Linked DNA regions of Cricetulus griseus. The protein of the gene in region 2 interacts with the protein of the main gene of each other region in a pairwise test. Links are inferred from orthologs where the notes say so. Each region holds a gene or a part of one and is shown on either strand. Other genes may lie near its edges.

Evidence for each region.
Region 1: the proteins of reticulon-1 (region 2) and Ugcg interact in a two-hybrid assay, tested with the Homo sapiens proteins (2 studies listed by BioGRID and IntAct). The link is inferred for Cricetulus griseus from reciprocal best matches to the Homo sapiens genes RTN1 and UGCG.

Annotation. Positions count from the first base shown.
Region 1 is NC_048595.1:84,614,042-84,622,059, forward strand, and holds part of Ugcg (ceramide glucosyltransferase), read right to left. Parts: intron 6,236-8,018; coding exon 6,094-6,235; intron 3,138-6,093; coding exon 3,035-3,137; intron 1,751-3,034; coding exon 1,649-1,750; intron 1-1,648. UniProt on the Homo sapiens protein: Participates in the initial step of the glucosylceramide-based glycosphingolipid/GSL synthetic pathway at the cytosolic surface of the Golgi.
Region 2 is NC_048598.1:131,032,894-131,041,368, forward strand, and holds the start of reticulon-1, read left to right. Parts: upstream 1-2,868; coding exon 2,869-3,115; intron 3,116-8,475. UniProt on the Homo sapiens protein: Inhibits amyloid precursor protein processing, probably by blocking BACE1 activity.

The DNA.
Region 1 (8,018 bases), on a different chromosome or scaffold from region 2:
GTTTTCTTTGAAAGAATATTACTAAGCTTAATAATTATAAATTAATTTTTTTGTAAGTCAACAGTCTAGAATCACCTTCTACAACTCAAAGTGAGGATGGTTCAGAGGCAGAAAGTAGTTCAGCTGGCATTGACCCTGGAGGCCTGAGAACTTCCTCCCTAATGAGATACCAGCAGCCTCTATGTCAGAACCTCCAACCAAATGAAGACAATGTCCTATAGTCAGGGGCAGGTCAAAGGACCACAGGTCTTCATATATTCTTTAACCGCAGGAGTGAGTCTGCTTTCTCAGTGGGAGTAATATGTACCTGATTCCACAACAGGGTTGCAAAGGCATGACAAGCATAAATTAAATTAACATAACCTAAATTAACAAACACGAAGATTAGACATGAATTTGGGTCATGGATCCTCAACGTGTAACACTGCTCATTAATTTGTAAGAATACTGAATATTAATTATCAAATTTATATCTTAAGGTAATGAAAAATTTGAACCAATGTCCAACCTTGAAATGGTGAACACTTCAAATCCTACATGACTGTTTTTATTTCCTTTTATTTGTTAAGAACTAAATGGTATAAAATAAAAAGAGTTGTGTCTGTGCTTTAAATACCCATATGGCAATAGAGACTCATGATGCAGTCCTGTAGTCCTGGCTACTCAGGAGACTGCAGCAAGTGAAAGATCCCAAGTTAGAGTTAGGTCGGGGCTGTTGTACAAAGCACTTGCTGGTCATGCATGAGGCCTTGTGTTCAACAGCCAGCACTTCAGGATACAAAAATCTCCCCTATTTTAGGTAGTGGTTCTCAACCAGGAACAATTCTTGGTAAGTGACATTTGGAAAATTGAGAATGGGGAAGGGTGCTACTGGCAGCCAGCAGGTAAGAGGACAGGCATGATGACAACATTTCCTCCATGACAAACTCTCCAGGCCACTCTGTCACTAGGATTGAGGATAAGGAACTCAATCTGACAAAAATACCATAGAGCTTAACACAAATGTTTACACCTATAAATACTAAGTTTGGTATATAAAAGGCTTCTTGCAACAGGCAAGGTGGTTTTATACTTATAACTCCAGTAGTTAGAAGGGAAAGACAAAATAGTCACAGTTCAAGGTCAGCCTGGTCTACATGGTGAATTCCAAGGCTGCATAATGAGACTGTCTCAAAAGGCCTCAAAAATAACCATTAAGATAGCTGGACCAAAACAAGCAAACAAAAAACCTTCTTGCTAAAATCTAGATAAAAAAAAAAAAAAGACATGACTGTCTTTTAATAAATGTATATATTTTAGGGAACATGAGATCATTGATCTGACTTTTTGGGTAAAATAAAAGATACAAGCAAAAGTGCCCAACAAATAAGCAATATTAACCAGCTCAAGGCTATCCAATGGATAATGAATCATGACTACTTTTTTAATGGTTGAATTTTCTCTTCAAAATGCAAGCATTTTAATAATTTAACATCTAGGTTAGCTTAAAAAAATTAAAATCTTAGTGAGCAAAATTGACATAAAACCATAAATAATGATGAAGTAAATTTTCAAGCAAACCAAAGATTGGTAAATAATATATTTTCACAATGTTTTTGGCGTTTTATCATCAAATGAACAGTAGCTGTATAGAATGAGAAAATCTCACCTCTTATTCCACTATCACAAATCCATATGAGATCATATTTTGCAACTTCATATCCTGGCATCAAATTATTAATTTTAGGATTAATGCCAACCTTTTTGCCACCTAAAAATGCAAAGACACAATAACAACACCTTTATATAATGCTGAAAATGCTATAAAAACACACGATGGAGAGAGAAAGAAAGAATACTGCCATATTTCATAATTTAAACATTTTTAATTTTTAAATATTCCCCATTTCTGGTATCTGTAAAAATGACTCATTCAAAAAGGGAGAATTCTGACTTTATCTTTGACAATACAGTCTGTTTTCTAGTTTGCAAATTCTTCCACTAACACTATAGGCTGATGCTTAATTTGACAACATAATATGATGATATTAAAACATCCATGTGCGGAGTACCTGAAAACTGCTAAGATACCTCATCACAAATTAGTATGCTAAGTATACATGTTAATTAATTTGATTTAGCCATTCCACAGTATACACATATTTTAAAACATCATACTATACATTATGGGTAATATGGGAGGGACAACTAAAACTAAGGGTCAATTGAGGGGGCGTATGGAAACCTAATATAGTAGAAGCTTCTCAAAATATGTACATATATGAAAGAAACCTAATAGGATTCACCAAATAATGGGAGAGCAAAGCCCCAACTAGACACTTCTCCCTACCCAGTGAAACCTCTAGTGTGCGCAGTGGGTTACAACTGATCAAGTTGTTGGCCAAAGAGGGCCCTTAAAGTCCTCCAAGAAACCAAGGCTATTGGTTACTCTCCCCAAACTGATGATGAGTCCCTATTGCTGAAGACAACACCTACATAACTCACTGAACATGGAGAAGTTGAGCCGGTGACTGACTGCCCCAAGCCTTCACCCCTACTGGCTAGTGCCCATGGTACTGGAAGGTACTTTGTACACTACCAGAAAAAGGAAAACACGTGCCTGCAAGGCATGCTGGTATAACAGTGACACAAAAATTGTGAAAGTAATTAAGGTCCACTCCATGAGATGGAACCCATGCCCAACACTGCTCAGGTGGCCTAGAGCCTGAGAATAGATAGACCATGGGCCGAGGGGAAAATCAAAATAGAAAAAAGGGGAAAAAAAGATTTTAGGAAAAACCCTAAAAACCAAAACAACAAATACTCATACCTGATTATTGACTAAGATATTATTTGTGTGTGTTTCATTTGGTAACCAAGACGTTGGAACTGTATTTACCCCATCCCCACATCACCACCCTTGCCCCCTGTAAACATGCTTAGAGCAAGCATACTGACTTTACTCAGTGAGCTCCTAACCCTGAGTTTAATGCAGAGCAGATCACTGATACTGAAACTACCAAAGCAAAATGGCCAATACAGACTTTGTACTTACCTATAAATAGTCTAGCATCAACATTCGGGTATTTTCCAAGCAGTTTCTTACATACATCAATGGCTGGATCATCATGATCTTGTACACAAAGGAGTACTTCATACTAGTCCAAGGAGAAATTTAACATTGATTAACCTCGTTGTTATTATTAACATTAATAAACTGTAAGGAAAAGAAAAAACACTGTGCACATAAAGTTTGCAAGCTTAGGGAGGAATCCTAAGCGATACAGATGCTTATGACAAGGGTGGCTTGGGTGGAGACAGCTTCTCCAGGACAAGGACCTGTCTGTCAGCATCAGGAGGAGCCTGGCAGTGTGTGGCAGGCCCCTCCCCAATGGCAACCTGCATATCAAGCTTGTTCATGACCTGAACTGCGGAACACACACTTGATGCTTACAAGACGAGCAGGAGTGTAAAAACCACACTGAGACGAAGTAAAACCAAGCACACTCCCTATTCTGCAGAATCCTTGCCCTAGAATGTAGCATCACTTCATGAGGTGCTACAAATTACAAATGACATCCCATAAAGGACAAAGTGTGATTAGAGTTCTTTTTGTTTTCTTCTTCTTTTTTTTTTTTTTGACTGAATTCTTACTACCCTGAAAAGCATACTTCACTTATGAAAACACCCAGAACTTCATTTTGCTCGATGCTATTTGGTTAGAAAGGCATTTCTGAGAGCTTGAATGGCCCTGCCACAACTGTCCTGTAACTTTGAAGTGCTTATATCACAGGGGCTCATTAGAGCCACAGGAAACCCACCGCTTACTTCTTTATAAACAAAAGAAGCAGAAACAAAATATTCATGATGCCTTTGGCATCCAACTTATCTCACCAAAAAGTGGCAGAAAAGGTATCTGTGGTTGAGCGATGAGAGAACCAGGACCAAGGTCAAGAAAGCACTAGTCAGTAAAGTGGGGATTCTGTTTTTTAATTAAAAAAACAAAAAAAGTCCCAATAATTAAGAAGATGGTGAAAACAAGGAATAGGTCCCTCATGATTTCTACCTCTTTATACAAATTTTACCCAATATCTATTTCAGTTATGATTGATCAAACATGCTACTCAAGAAGGGTTAAACTGTGTGTGTGTTTGTGTGTGTGTGTGTGTGTGTGTGTGTGTGTGTGTGTGTGTGTGTGTTGTGTGTGTGTTTGTAGGTACCTATGGGGTCCTTAAGAGTCCAATTTTCTGGAGTTAGTTATGAGCAGTTGTGAGCTACCAGTTGTGGGTACCAAGAATTAAACTTAGGTCTCTATAAGAGCAGTCCACTCTCTTAACTACTGAGTTAGCTCTCTAGTCCCATACCAAAAAAATTGAAAAGTATAATGTGTTAAGTAAGGGAACTCATCTTTATTCAATCACGAGGCTTGAAGTTTCCAAACTTGATTATACCTTTTAAATTTAATCCCAAAATTAAAAAAGAAAAGCTTTAATTAGCCATCATACAAATAAAACTCAATTCACATTATCTTGGAGTGGACACTATGACAGATTTTTTTTTTTAAAGAATTCTATCCAATTGAAGGAAGCATGCTAAGTGTTTTCTGAAGCATCACACTGTAACGAGGTGTCACCTCTGTGTCCTCCTGGTGTGACTGAACATTTTATTTGCTAGAAATCTCTGTACTAAAACAGTACAATCCCTCCAATTATAACTGAGACAAACACTAGACATGGTTAAATGTTTTCTAGTTAATACATTAAAATAACTTTGGGGGTATTGTTTACAATGTTGAAGACTGGACACATATACATATTAAAAACACAGTACATGTTAAAATATACCTTTAGGATATTTTAAGAGAGGCTGGAGAGATGGACAAAAATACCACTCAAAACAAAATTTTAAGTGGTGGTTCTGGGGATTGAAACCAAGGCTCTGTACATGCTAAACACACACTCTTATCACCAAGCTACACCCTGTCCTAAAATATGTTTTAATATGTGAATGAATTATATTGCACATCAAGCAAAATAACCTTTTTTTCTCCCTCCATTGGCTTCTTATAGCCTACACTGGCCTCCAATTCCCTATGTACCAGGGACTATGGCTTTTGGCCCAAATCCACATCTTGTTTATGCTAAGCTCAGAACTTTATGCATGCCACAGGCAAGTGCTCTACAGAGACACATCCTACCCTCTCAAGTACGCATACACACACATACATATCTTGAGCTACTACTCATAAAGAACTTCATACTCTAGGTTTTATAGAATTTTATATTTGGATCGTAATAGAATTTAAATCCTGTAACTGAACTTAGACTCTTAGTCCCTAGAACAGCTGCTGGCCTAGAACAGGTGACAAGTTCACTTGGGAGTTCATTTGGGTAACTTCTGAGTGAAAAAAAAAAAAAAAAAAAAAGCACAAAAAGGGAGGTTTTTAAAGAAAATACCTCTAAATTCAAAGTTTTGAAAGATAATATTGAATAGGTTACCTGTACTCAAGAACTAGATGGTTTTGTGCTACGCTTACCACGGTGTTAATGTTTTTAAAGTAAAATACTGTCAGAATGAAAGTCTCCCTTAGATTACAGATTCCTCTGGCTTTCTACTTCTGAAACTAAACTAGACTAGACTAGAAACTGCCTCTGGCATATGCTGTAACTCATTCCACACTGAAGACTAACATAGCTTTTCTCTTCCAGCAATTTAAATACACCGGTATACTACAGGACATGAGAAAAGCCATATGGGACTAGTTCTTTGAGCTTTGATGGGATGATGGCAGCAAAACCAAAATGTGAGGTTATACTCCACATCAGAAACATGTGGACACTAAGCCAGATGCTGAGATTTGTTCATAATTAACAAAATACTTCATTCACAAAAATAAACTTTCCTTTGTATTCACTTATACACTATGGGCTTGAAAACCTTCCAGCTTTCTTATTGTAAGCAAAGCTTACTTTAATTTTATGTATACAAAGCATCAGTACTTCCACCTTATATACAGTGTTAAAATTCCCAATGTTTCTGATGAGGAAAAACAAAACAAAACAAAAAAAACCCCACAGCCTAGTCCATTCCTCATGTGCACAGCACTACACTTACTTTGGGATAATCCAGTTCAAAGAATGTCTCCAAGTTGTTGATTAGGTTAGGATCCACCCCCTTCAATGGTTTCAGAAGAGAGACACCAGGGAGCTTGCTATACGGCTGCTTGTCTGTTGCCTTCTTGTTGAGGTGTAACCGGCTAAAAATCAAAAACAACACAAGAGTTATTTTTAGAGGATGTGTTGGTGAGAAACGAAAAGGAAGCACACACTAGCACACTGATAAATCACTACACTCTAACGGGATTTTTCTGTTCTTTCTTTTTCTTTTGAAGCAGAGTTGGGGCTAAATATCTTAATAAAGACTTAATTAAGCACAAGGGTCCAGAGAAAGAGAGGCAGGCAGAATAAACCAAGACACACCCAAAAGCATTGGTTTGGGCACCTCAGGGGAAGCTGCTTTTTAGTTTTTTGTTGTTGTTTGTTTGTTTGTTTGTTTAAAGACAGGGTCTCATATAGCCAAGGATGCTCTTGAACCTTGATCTTTTTGCCTTTAAGTATTAGGATTGTAAGCATGTACCACCATGCCCAGTTTATGGGCTCAAACCCAGGGCTTCATACATGCTAGCCAAACCCTCTACCAACTGTGTAACATCTCAGCACTAAGATGAGAGTTTTCAAAGCTGACATCTTTCTGAGAAGGAGACCTGAGAATGAAGGGAAGATGATGAAGAAAACAAGTCTTCACTTTGGGAAAACTAGAAGGAAGCAGAATGGATGTTCCAATGAAGACCAGCACACAGATGCACCCTGCATGCTGGTCATTCATTGCTGTGCCCTCAGTGCTTAGTAACCATGGGGTCACAGAGCAGGCATTCAGTAGATGCATACTGAAGAAATGAATGGCAGGTTGTGGGAGACAGCTTAGTGGGTGAGATGCCTGCTGTGCAAGCAGGAAGTTCATATCCCCTCTTGCCGACATGACTGCCCTACCTCTCAGACTGCCAAGAAGTAACCAGAGAGCTATTAAAGTAGGTAAAGCCTTTATATGTACCAAAAGACAATGGATGTTAATGAGCATGCTTGGAGAAATTACTATAAAGCAGCAGCAGGCAGGCTGCACAGAAGCAAGAGAATAAGGCAAATGGAATATCTAATGGTAGTTAAGCTGGCCAGGTAGAAAAGAAGGTTGAAGGAAAGATAACAAAACAAAACAAAACAAAACTCAGGTTAAAAAAAAAAAATGTGTCTTAGAGATACTAGAAGATACACCATCACCACCAGTTCACAGAGAAGCTGGCTCAGGTTCACATCACTGGTCCATGCCAAAGACACTACTTCTCCTAACGAGGGACACCCAAACAATTGGAGAAGAGAGGATGTGCCAAGTTAACATCAGTCAGAAGAGATGTTATTCTACAGTGTGGTGGAATTTCTTCCTCTATACTTCTTAGCACGGTGCAGGTCGATCCCATCAGCCAGTCTGCAGGCAGTTGGTAGTAATTAGATATGGGAGTACTCATGGGTCCAACTACAAGGTGCCCTAGGACTCCAGTATCTCCACCCTAACATCTCTGCAATCAATAGCATTTTAGGATTGCTCCGACCAGAAGGCCGTCCTGCCAGGAGTGTGAAGACCAACCAACACCTTCTAGCAGACCAAAAACACCATCTTCATTTCAAAGAATGGTACTACAAATGTATGGATGACTTGGAGGTACACCAGTGACAGTACCCCATAGGGACCAGTCAGCTTGGGTTTGCAGAGGAAGGCAGAGGGCACTGCAGCAAGCACCTGTGGCAGAATGTTATTTTAAGGGGTATGACTTTTGTTTATGCTGCATTTGTTTAACTCAATGAAGCTGTGATTCTTTGCCTGTCTAAAACACCTCATGGTCTAATAAATCGTTGACTGGCCAATAGCGAGAGGCAGGGGCAAGGATGCCGGCAGGCAGAGAGCATACACAGAAGGAAAAACAAAGA
Region 2 (8,475 bases):
TTGTAACCCCTAGATCTCCTTTTGTTGTCTTATTGCTCTAGCTAGAACTTCAAGGACAATATTGAAGATGTATGGAGAGAGTGGACAGCCTTGTATTGTTCCTGATTTTAGAGGAATTGCGTTGAGTTTCTCTCCATTTGATTTGATGTTGGTTGTTGGCTTGCTGTATACTGCTTTTATTATGTTTAGGTATGTTCTTGTTATTCCTGGAAGGGGTGTTGAATTTTGTCAAAGGCTTTTTCAGCATTTAGTGAGATGATCATGTGGTTTTTCTTTTGCAGTTTGTTTATATGGTAGATTACATTGATGGATTTTCATATGATGAACCATCCTTGCATCCCTGGGATGAAGCCTACTTGATCATGGTGGATGATTTTTCTGATGTGTTCTTAGATTAGATTCGCCAGTATTTTATTGAATATTTTTGCACCAGTGTTCATGAGGGATATTGGTCTGTAGTTCTTTTTACTTAGTTGTGTCTTTATGTGGCTTGGGTACAAAGGCAATTGTAGCCTTGTAAAAAGAGTTTGGCAATATCCCTTCTGCTTCTATTGTGTGTAACAGTTTAAGGAGGACTGGTATTAGCTCTTCTTTGAATTTCTGATAGAATTCTGTACTGAAACCATTTGGCCCTGGGCTTTGTTTTGGTTGGAAGACTTTTGATGATAAATTGCTTCTATTTCATTAGGGGTTATAGGTCTATTTAAATTGCTTATCTGTTCTGGATTTAATTTTGGTAAGTGATATCTATCCAGAAAATTGTCCATTTCCTTTAATTTTTTTATTTTTTTAGAGTACAGGTTTTCAAATTATGACCTGATGATTCTCTGAATTTCCTCAGTGTCCATTTTTTGTTATGTCCCCCTTCTCATTTCTGATTTTGTTAATTAGCATGCTCTGTCTCTGTTTTGGTTAGTTTGGATAAAGGTTTGTCTACGTTATTGATTTTCTCAAAGAACTAACTCTTTGATTCATCGATTCTTTGCATTGTTTTCTTTGTTTCTACTTTATTTATTTCATCCCTCAATTTGATTATTTCCTGGCATCTGCTTCTCTGGGGTGAGTTTGCTGTTTTTTGTTCTAGAGCTTTCAGTTGTGCTGTTAATTCTCTAGTGTGACTATTCTCCAGTTTCTTCATGTGGGGACAACTGGATTTTTGGCAGATGCATACACTGTGAAACCATTATCACAGTGAAGATAATGGACATATTCCATAGAAACTGTTGTTTCAAATGTGTGTGTGTGTGTGTGTGTGTGTGTGTGTGAGAGAGAGAGAGAGAGAGAGAGAGAGAGAGAGAGAGAGAGAGAGAGAGAGAGAGAACTGGAGTCATAGGTGATTGTGAGCTGTCAGATGTGAGTGCTGGAAACCAAACTCAGGTCCTTTGGAAAAGCAGCAAGAACCCTTAACCACGGAGCCATCTCTCTAGCCTCAGGAATTAATCTTCAATATAGCAATAATGTAAAATTTTGGTGACTTTCAGATTCCCCACCACATTTTCTCTAACTTGTTGCTACCTAGTACAACGAAAGATTAGTATGAATTGGGAATTTTTATTATCATCATTTTTGGAGCACCCAAATGGTGCCGACACTGTCCTTTAAACCGACAGACAGATGGGAAGCTAATGGTAGCTGAGAACTCTCCACACCCTCTCTGCACCCTGCCCACCTTTTAAAAGAGTCGGGCCAACAGATAACTGTGATTTACTGTACTCTTCTACTCTGATGTTGAACATAACCTAAGACTTCAAAGGACCCATCATGTTACAGTTTAGGAACCAGTGAAACATGGCTTGTTTGAAAAGATAGGTCTGAAAATGGGAACAACACATGCAGACGAGTCCCCTCCTCTTTCATTAAGTGTCTTCCATTGTATCAGAGAGTACAGTAAAGGGGGAAGAGCAGCGGCGGCGGAAGTTTCTAGGGAAGCCCACTTCTCCAGTAAAGCCGACTGCCAAGACAGCCCGTCGTGTGGATACCTTTCGCTAGGGCCGAATGCTTCCAAAAGGAGATACAGCTGCTTCTGTATGCCTAGAAGGGTCCCTGTTTGCTTTCGATGCTCCTTGGCACAGGTCTGGGAAGCTTTTTATTCATTTATTTTTAGTGGAGTTTCTCCTGATGATCCATTTCTGTACTCTTATTTTGTTATTGTTTTCTTGTTTGAACCTGTTCTGGAAACTGTTAAGGATGAAGGCTTTAATCTCCAGGTTGCAGATGTCTGTCTTCATTTGCCACCAACACCTGTCTCCACCAGGTAACCGTTCAGACTAGTGTCCTTTCTGCATCAGACTCTGGTCACTCTCAGAACGGTGGTTCTGAGATTTCCTAGCCTCCCTTGCTCTCCTAGAGTCCCAAGACTCCAGTCTGGCTTTAACTTCTTGCCTAATCAGTGAAGCTGCAGTCAATACCTGCTGCTCCTCTCCTTGTATTTTTCCCCAGATGAAGGGCAGAGATATGGGTTTGGCAGATCTCTTAATCAGAGCCTGCCATTAGCAGGCCCGGGGCTGACGTGCACTGGGGAGGACTCGGACCAAGCAGGCCATTTTCACCTGCGTAATAACAGGCTTGGGAGTAGCGAAGCGGCGCTGGCACAGCAAGCAGCCTCTGGAGCAGGGGAGGAGCGCAGGCGGCGGCCGCCCAGGGGCCACAGAGGAAGAGGAGGGGGAAAAGGAGGAGCCGAAGCGCCCAGAGCAGCAGCCGCCGCTCGGCCTGAGTTGCAGCAGAGGCAGCGACGGCGGCGCAGAGACTCTGCAGCCTCCTGGATCCCGAAGTCCCTGTGGGGCCAGCAGCAGAGAGCGCCCGCGCACCTAGCCACCGCACCCGGGCCTTGCCAAGCCGCCATCGCCCAACCGGGGGGCACCGCCAGCCATGGCTGCACCGCCGGATCTGCAAGATGAGCCTAGCCCCGGGTCCCAGTGGTTCGCGGGCCAGGGGGAGGGGGAGGACGAAGCAGCACCGCCGAAAGGGGCCAGGCCAGCGCGGCAGGATGGGGAGCCCGCCTGGGGGTCGGGAGCCGGAGCCGGAGCCGGAGCCGGAGCCGGGGTAGTGTCGCCGCGGGAACTGTACTCCGGCCCCGCCCGGTCGCCTCCCGTCGCCATGGAAACTGCATCCACAGGTAAACCCCGCGGGCACCACGACCCCGCAAATAGAGGCCGTGACCCTGGTTTCTTGTAGCTCCTCTAGTCCACTGATCTTCTCTGCATAATCCTGGTTTCTCGGCTGGGGCATTAACCCCAGCAGGGTTTCGTCTCGTGCGACTGTAAATGTTAGCGGACTGGTGGAAAACAGCAGTGTGCTGCTAGCGGGTAGGAGGAAGGAGGCTGTTAGTCCTGTTATTTCATTATTACTCTTGTTATGGCCTTAGACGTTGTTCCTGTTTGCAAGCCTGGCTACTGCTGCTACAAGTTTCTCCCTCTTGTCAAAGGCCTCGGGGCAGCAGGGCGGGCGTGACAGGTTGTGATGGTTTTCTGGGGCGTGTTTGCGCTCAGCGTGCTCAGCCGGCGGCGACCACAGTGGTTGACAACCAAGCAGCAGGCGGGCCCACTGCCTCAGGACCCTCCCGCTGGGTTTGGTGCTACGGAGTACAACAGGGGTTTTAATTTTCCCGTTTCTTCCCTCAAGGAATCACCACACCCTACCTACTCCTTTCCTTTCCAGCTCCCCTTCTCTCGCGCTGAAAACAAACCCCAAAGAGTCCTGCGCTTAATTCCAGAGGGACATTGTGTGAGGGTTGGGAGTTGTAGCCTTCTCTCTTTATTTCCTGGCTGCTCTGCTCTATCAGGGAGCACCAAAACTTGGAACCCACAGATGTGAAGGTCCTGGCTGCGAATTAGAGTGTTGGGGTTGTGGTCAGAGGGCCAGACACAGTTTACCAATCAGTCTGAACTCTGTACCTCCGCGTTTGCAAAAACTGCCAGGGCTTTGACCTCTCTCCCCCTGACTCGCCCTTCACAACCAAAACAAATCCTTGCCTGGTGGGACCAACCCGAAGGCCAGGGACGTGTGGCTTGTCCTTGGAGGCTAGAGAAGCGTGCTGAGGGAGGGGTAGCTGCCTGGTTAGCGCTGTTTCCAGGAGAAATACTGTAGGGGGGTGGTGTGTTGTGCTGTTGTCTGCAAGGCTCTGCTGAGCTGGAGTGGGAGTTGTGTAGTTTTGGTGATGTAGTGTGAGGCCTGGGTAGTGGGTGTTCCTGGAGGAGGGACGTGGGTAGGACTGGCATATGTGCTCCTGGCAGCTGATTTAGGGAAACCCCTTTCTTAAGCCACCCCCTCTTGAGGGTTATGTGGAGTGCCTCAGGTTGTCTTAACTCTAGAACTAGCAAGATCTGAGCCAGGAACGGAGATTTGGAGACTGTGTTGAATAATGGAAAGAAAAAAGTAGGGCCAAGCAAGAAAAAGAGAAGTGAAAGGAGGTGAGGGAAAGCAGAACGAGAAGGGGAGACGGGGAGGGAGTGGGAATGATGGCGGGGGTGGGGAGGAACAAAGCGTGAAAAACCCCAACAGCTGACAACCTCATTTGTCATATATTAATTACTGTAGGGTGGGATTTAAATCTAAGAACAGTTTCCTGGTCTCTTGCAACTCCTTGTGTCCAAATGAAGAGAAATGAAAACGTATAACTAACTGCCAGAACAAAAGGCAAATAATAGCAACCTTTGTGCCAGTAGACTTCTTTAGGGTGGCTTACAGTTCAGAAACTGTATCTGCTATACCCCAGGTAAATTCTTTGTTTCTAAGCTTTCCCTACCTCCCATCAGTGTCACTAAGGGCAAGTAAGAAAGAAAAGCAAATCTTGTTAGGTTACATGCAACAAAGTGCTCCGAATGGACGTAGGTATATAGATACACGTGTATATAATACAGTATAATGTTTTGATATAGTGTAGATCATGGAATGTTTAAAACAAGCTGATTAACACAACTGTGATCAGTTTTAATGGTGAAAACATTTAAAATCTACTCTGTGAATAACACATATGCAATATACTGTTACAGAGCAGTGACTGGATGGAGCAGTCACCGTTGTCTACACTTTAATCTTTATTATGAAGGTATTTTGTTTTGTCAGGTGAATTAGAGGTTTCCTTTTCTGAGCATCAAATTAACTAATAAAATCAAGCAAGGGTCTAAGTTTGGTAGGAGGAAGTTGAAAGGATCTAGATGGACATGTTTATACAGAAATGCTATATATTGAAAACTCCAAATAAAATCAGGGCTTGCCTCCGTATGTGTGATTTCTGCAGGTTTTTTTTCAGTGTAAGCAAAATCAGCATATCAGTGACAAGACCATGGCACACGTTGCTTGACTTTGCAGTTTTATAGCTTGCTTTATAAATAGCACCCCCCTTTCCTGAGGTTCCGAAGGCAGGAAGCCCAAGCTCGAGGTGTCCAGGAGTCTGTGTCTACTGTGGCTCTGCCTTCTGGCCCCCAGCTGTTTTGTTACTGTGTCCTCCAAAGGGAAGAAGGCAACTTTATTCTTTATTTTCTTTTTTTCTTTTGAAAGAATGCTTTAGGCTTCAGTGTTGATGGAGATGGAACTTAGACTTTAAGTGCGAAGCACTGTAAACAGACAGCTCCAATTTCACACGTACTATTCCCATGCAAGACAGATACGGGTGTTTTAAAAACTGTTTTTATGTAAAAGAACCACCAATCATGCCATCTGGCCAGAAATTCTGTTATTTATTTTTATACTTTGATGGTAATTAAAGCCCCCCAAGAAATAGTTAAAAAAATACTTCTCCGTAAAACTTCCAGAATAAGTATACATAGCTGAACATCATTAAAGCAAGCTATAAAGGCCCATTACACTGAATGAATTTTCAGATATTCTCAGTGCTTCTGTCACTGTTGTAGCATGGAAAAATTCCCAACAATAACAAGAAATAACACATTCTTCTTGAGCTATAATCTTTCACATCTAAAATTGCTAGTGGGACTGTGCAATGATGTCTTTGGCCAAGGAACATTCAAAGTGCCATGTGGAAGCTACAGTGTCAGGCTCACTAACTGTGGAACATTGCCAGCCTCTTAGAGTTTTATACAAAGGATGCTAAGAGCAACTGTTCTGTATTTTTTCATATGATCAGTTATTTTATTCCTGGGAACTAGTCAAAAGGAGCACACAAAAACAAAATGAGGGATGAATGGCCTTTTGTTTAAACAAGGAGAATTTGAACAAATTGGAATGGTAAGACGTTAACGTATCGACTGCTTTGGGAATTAATTCATTGACCACATGAAAAGCAATGGATGGGGAGAACAGGGATAGAGAACACCCAGAAGAAGCCAGTTCAATGTGGCTGTCTCAGCTGTCCCATCCTATGGATAAATTCGACATAATTTTGTGGATAATTTCAAAAAAAGAGAAGCAAGAGTTCTTTTTTTCAATGCATATTACGGAGGCCATGAAGTCTGTAGGTATATTTTTAAAAAACCATTTTCCATCTATAATGATTTAAGTTATGTTGAGCATATTTTATACATCCCATCTAGAAAACTACAATGTTTTACAGTCATTCATTCTGGAAACCGGGTAGACTGTATTCACCATCATGTGTGTTTTATAGACATGTGGATTATTTTAAAGTTTGAAATACTGTCTGGCAATCCCCTTTAGAAGTTATAAATTCTCATCTTCTCTCTTTCATGTTTTAAGAAAGCCACAGTGATGTTGAAGCTAGAAGCAACACTCCATCTTGCTTTTACAGTCTCTAGAAGGAGTAAAATAGTCTGTAAACCTAATGCAATTTCTCTCTCCAGATGCAGCCTTTGGACACAGTCTAACTTTTCTGGCAGTCAAGTACGGTACACATCCCAGAATGCAGAGATGCTAGGATTAACATTTTGAAGTACTTCTGCTCTTTCAAAATACATTGAAATGGGTATCATCAGGACTTGAAGCCTAATTTGACATTTTTGAAGTCAATATTCTGTAAAGTCACTCTGCTCACCCCTCCACGAAGGCCTGTTTCTGTTCTTTTTCTAGGTTGCTATGAACCTCTAACACTGAGGTTTGGGGGCGGGGCGAGTTCTGGACTATTGCCCATTTGCTGTCAATCCTAGGAAGCGCGGATTACAGAAAGTTTTATCTGTACAGTGAGAAGCTGCTGTAACCAGAGAGTTATGAATGTCTCTGCTGAACACAGGTCAAGGGCTCCTAGACCGTGTGCCACTTTCTGTTTCACGTCCATGTTTGGTTTAGCCAAGCACTTCCTTTGTGTCAGTTTTCATTTTCTTCATTCTCAAATCTTTGCTGGAAGCTTGACTGGAAGGCCATCGCCATTATCCCACGTCACAGGAACACGAGCATGAGCTAGTTTTCTGAGGTCAACACAAGATACACAAATGTGAGTACAGCTTGCTCTGACAATATAGACGTGGAAAATAAATCCACTTCTCTTTCCTCCTCTTTGTCTCATCTTGCCCTTCTTCAAAGAAATCACTATGTTAAGTATCACTCCAAGGTCTTCAACTTTGTTCATTATGATTTAGCCATTATATATATATATATATATATATATATATATATATATATATTTTTGATATTATAATTTAATTGCAACATTTATCCCTTCCCTTTCCTCCTCCCAAACCCTCTCATTTGTCCCTCCTCAGTCACCTTTACATTCAAGGCCTCTCTTTTCACTAGTTTTTATTTCAGGCATATGTACACACGTGTGTGTGTGTGTGTGTGTGTGTGTGTGTGTGTGTGTGTATGTTGTATGTGTGTGTGTGTGTGTGTGTGTGTGTGTATTATGTCTATATATTCCAAATATAACCTGTTCAGTCCATATAGTTCTACTTGCGTGCATGTTTTCAAAGCTGACCATTTGGCACTGGGCAACCAATTGATGTGCTCTTCCCTGGAGAAGGGTTCTTCGGTTCCCAGCTTTCCTTAGCTACCTGTAGTTCTTTGTTTACAGATGAAGCCATGCAGGCTTTTCTCGATCCAGTTTGGTGTGTTCATTGGGGTCATCATTGTTCAGCTCACCCTTGGGTGATCATATTGATGAGAATTTATGGGTGTAACTCCTGATGTTCCTCACGGAGGAAATTCTCTTATCCTCCAGCTCTTACAGTCTTTCCACTCCCTCTCCATGTTCCCTGAGCCTTGGGTATGGGAATGTTTTATGGATGTATGCATTGGGTCTGAGCTCCACAACTCTGCATTTTGACTGGCTGTGGTCTTCTGTAGTGGTCTCTGTCTGTTACAAAGGGAAGTGTCCTGGATGAAATGTGAAGACTACACTTATCTGTGGGTATAAGGACAATGTTTTTATAGATTCTTGTTATGCTGGTTTAATAAATTAGCGGTTGTCCATTCTCCAGTAACCATGATTTCACTAGCACTAGAAGCTAGGTGGGCTTCCAGTATGGGCTGTGGTCTCCTTCTTGTTGAGTAGGTTTTGAGTTCAGTTCAAGAGCCGTTGGTTACTGCTAAGTACGTGTGCCACTACTACACCCTTAATGTTAACAC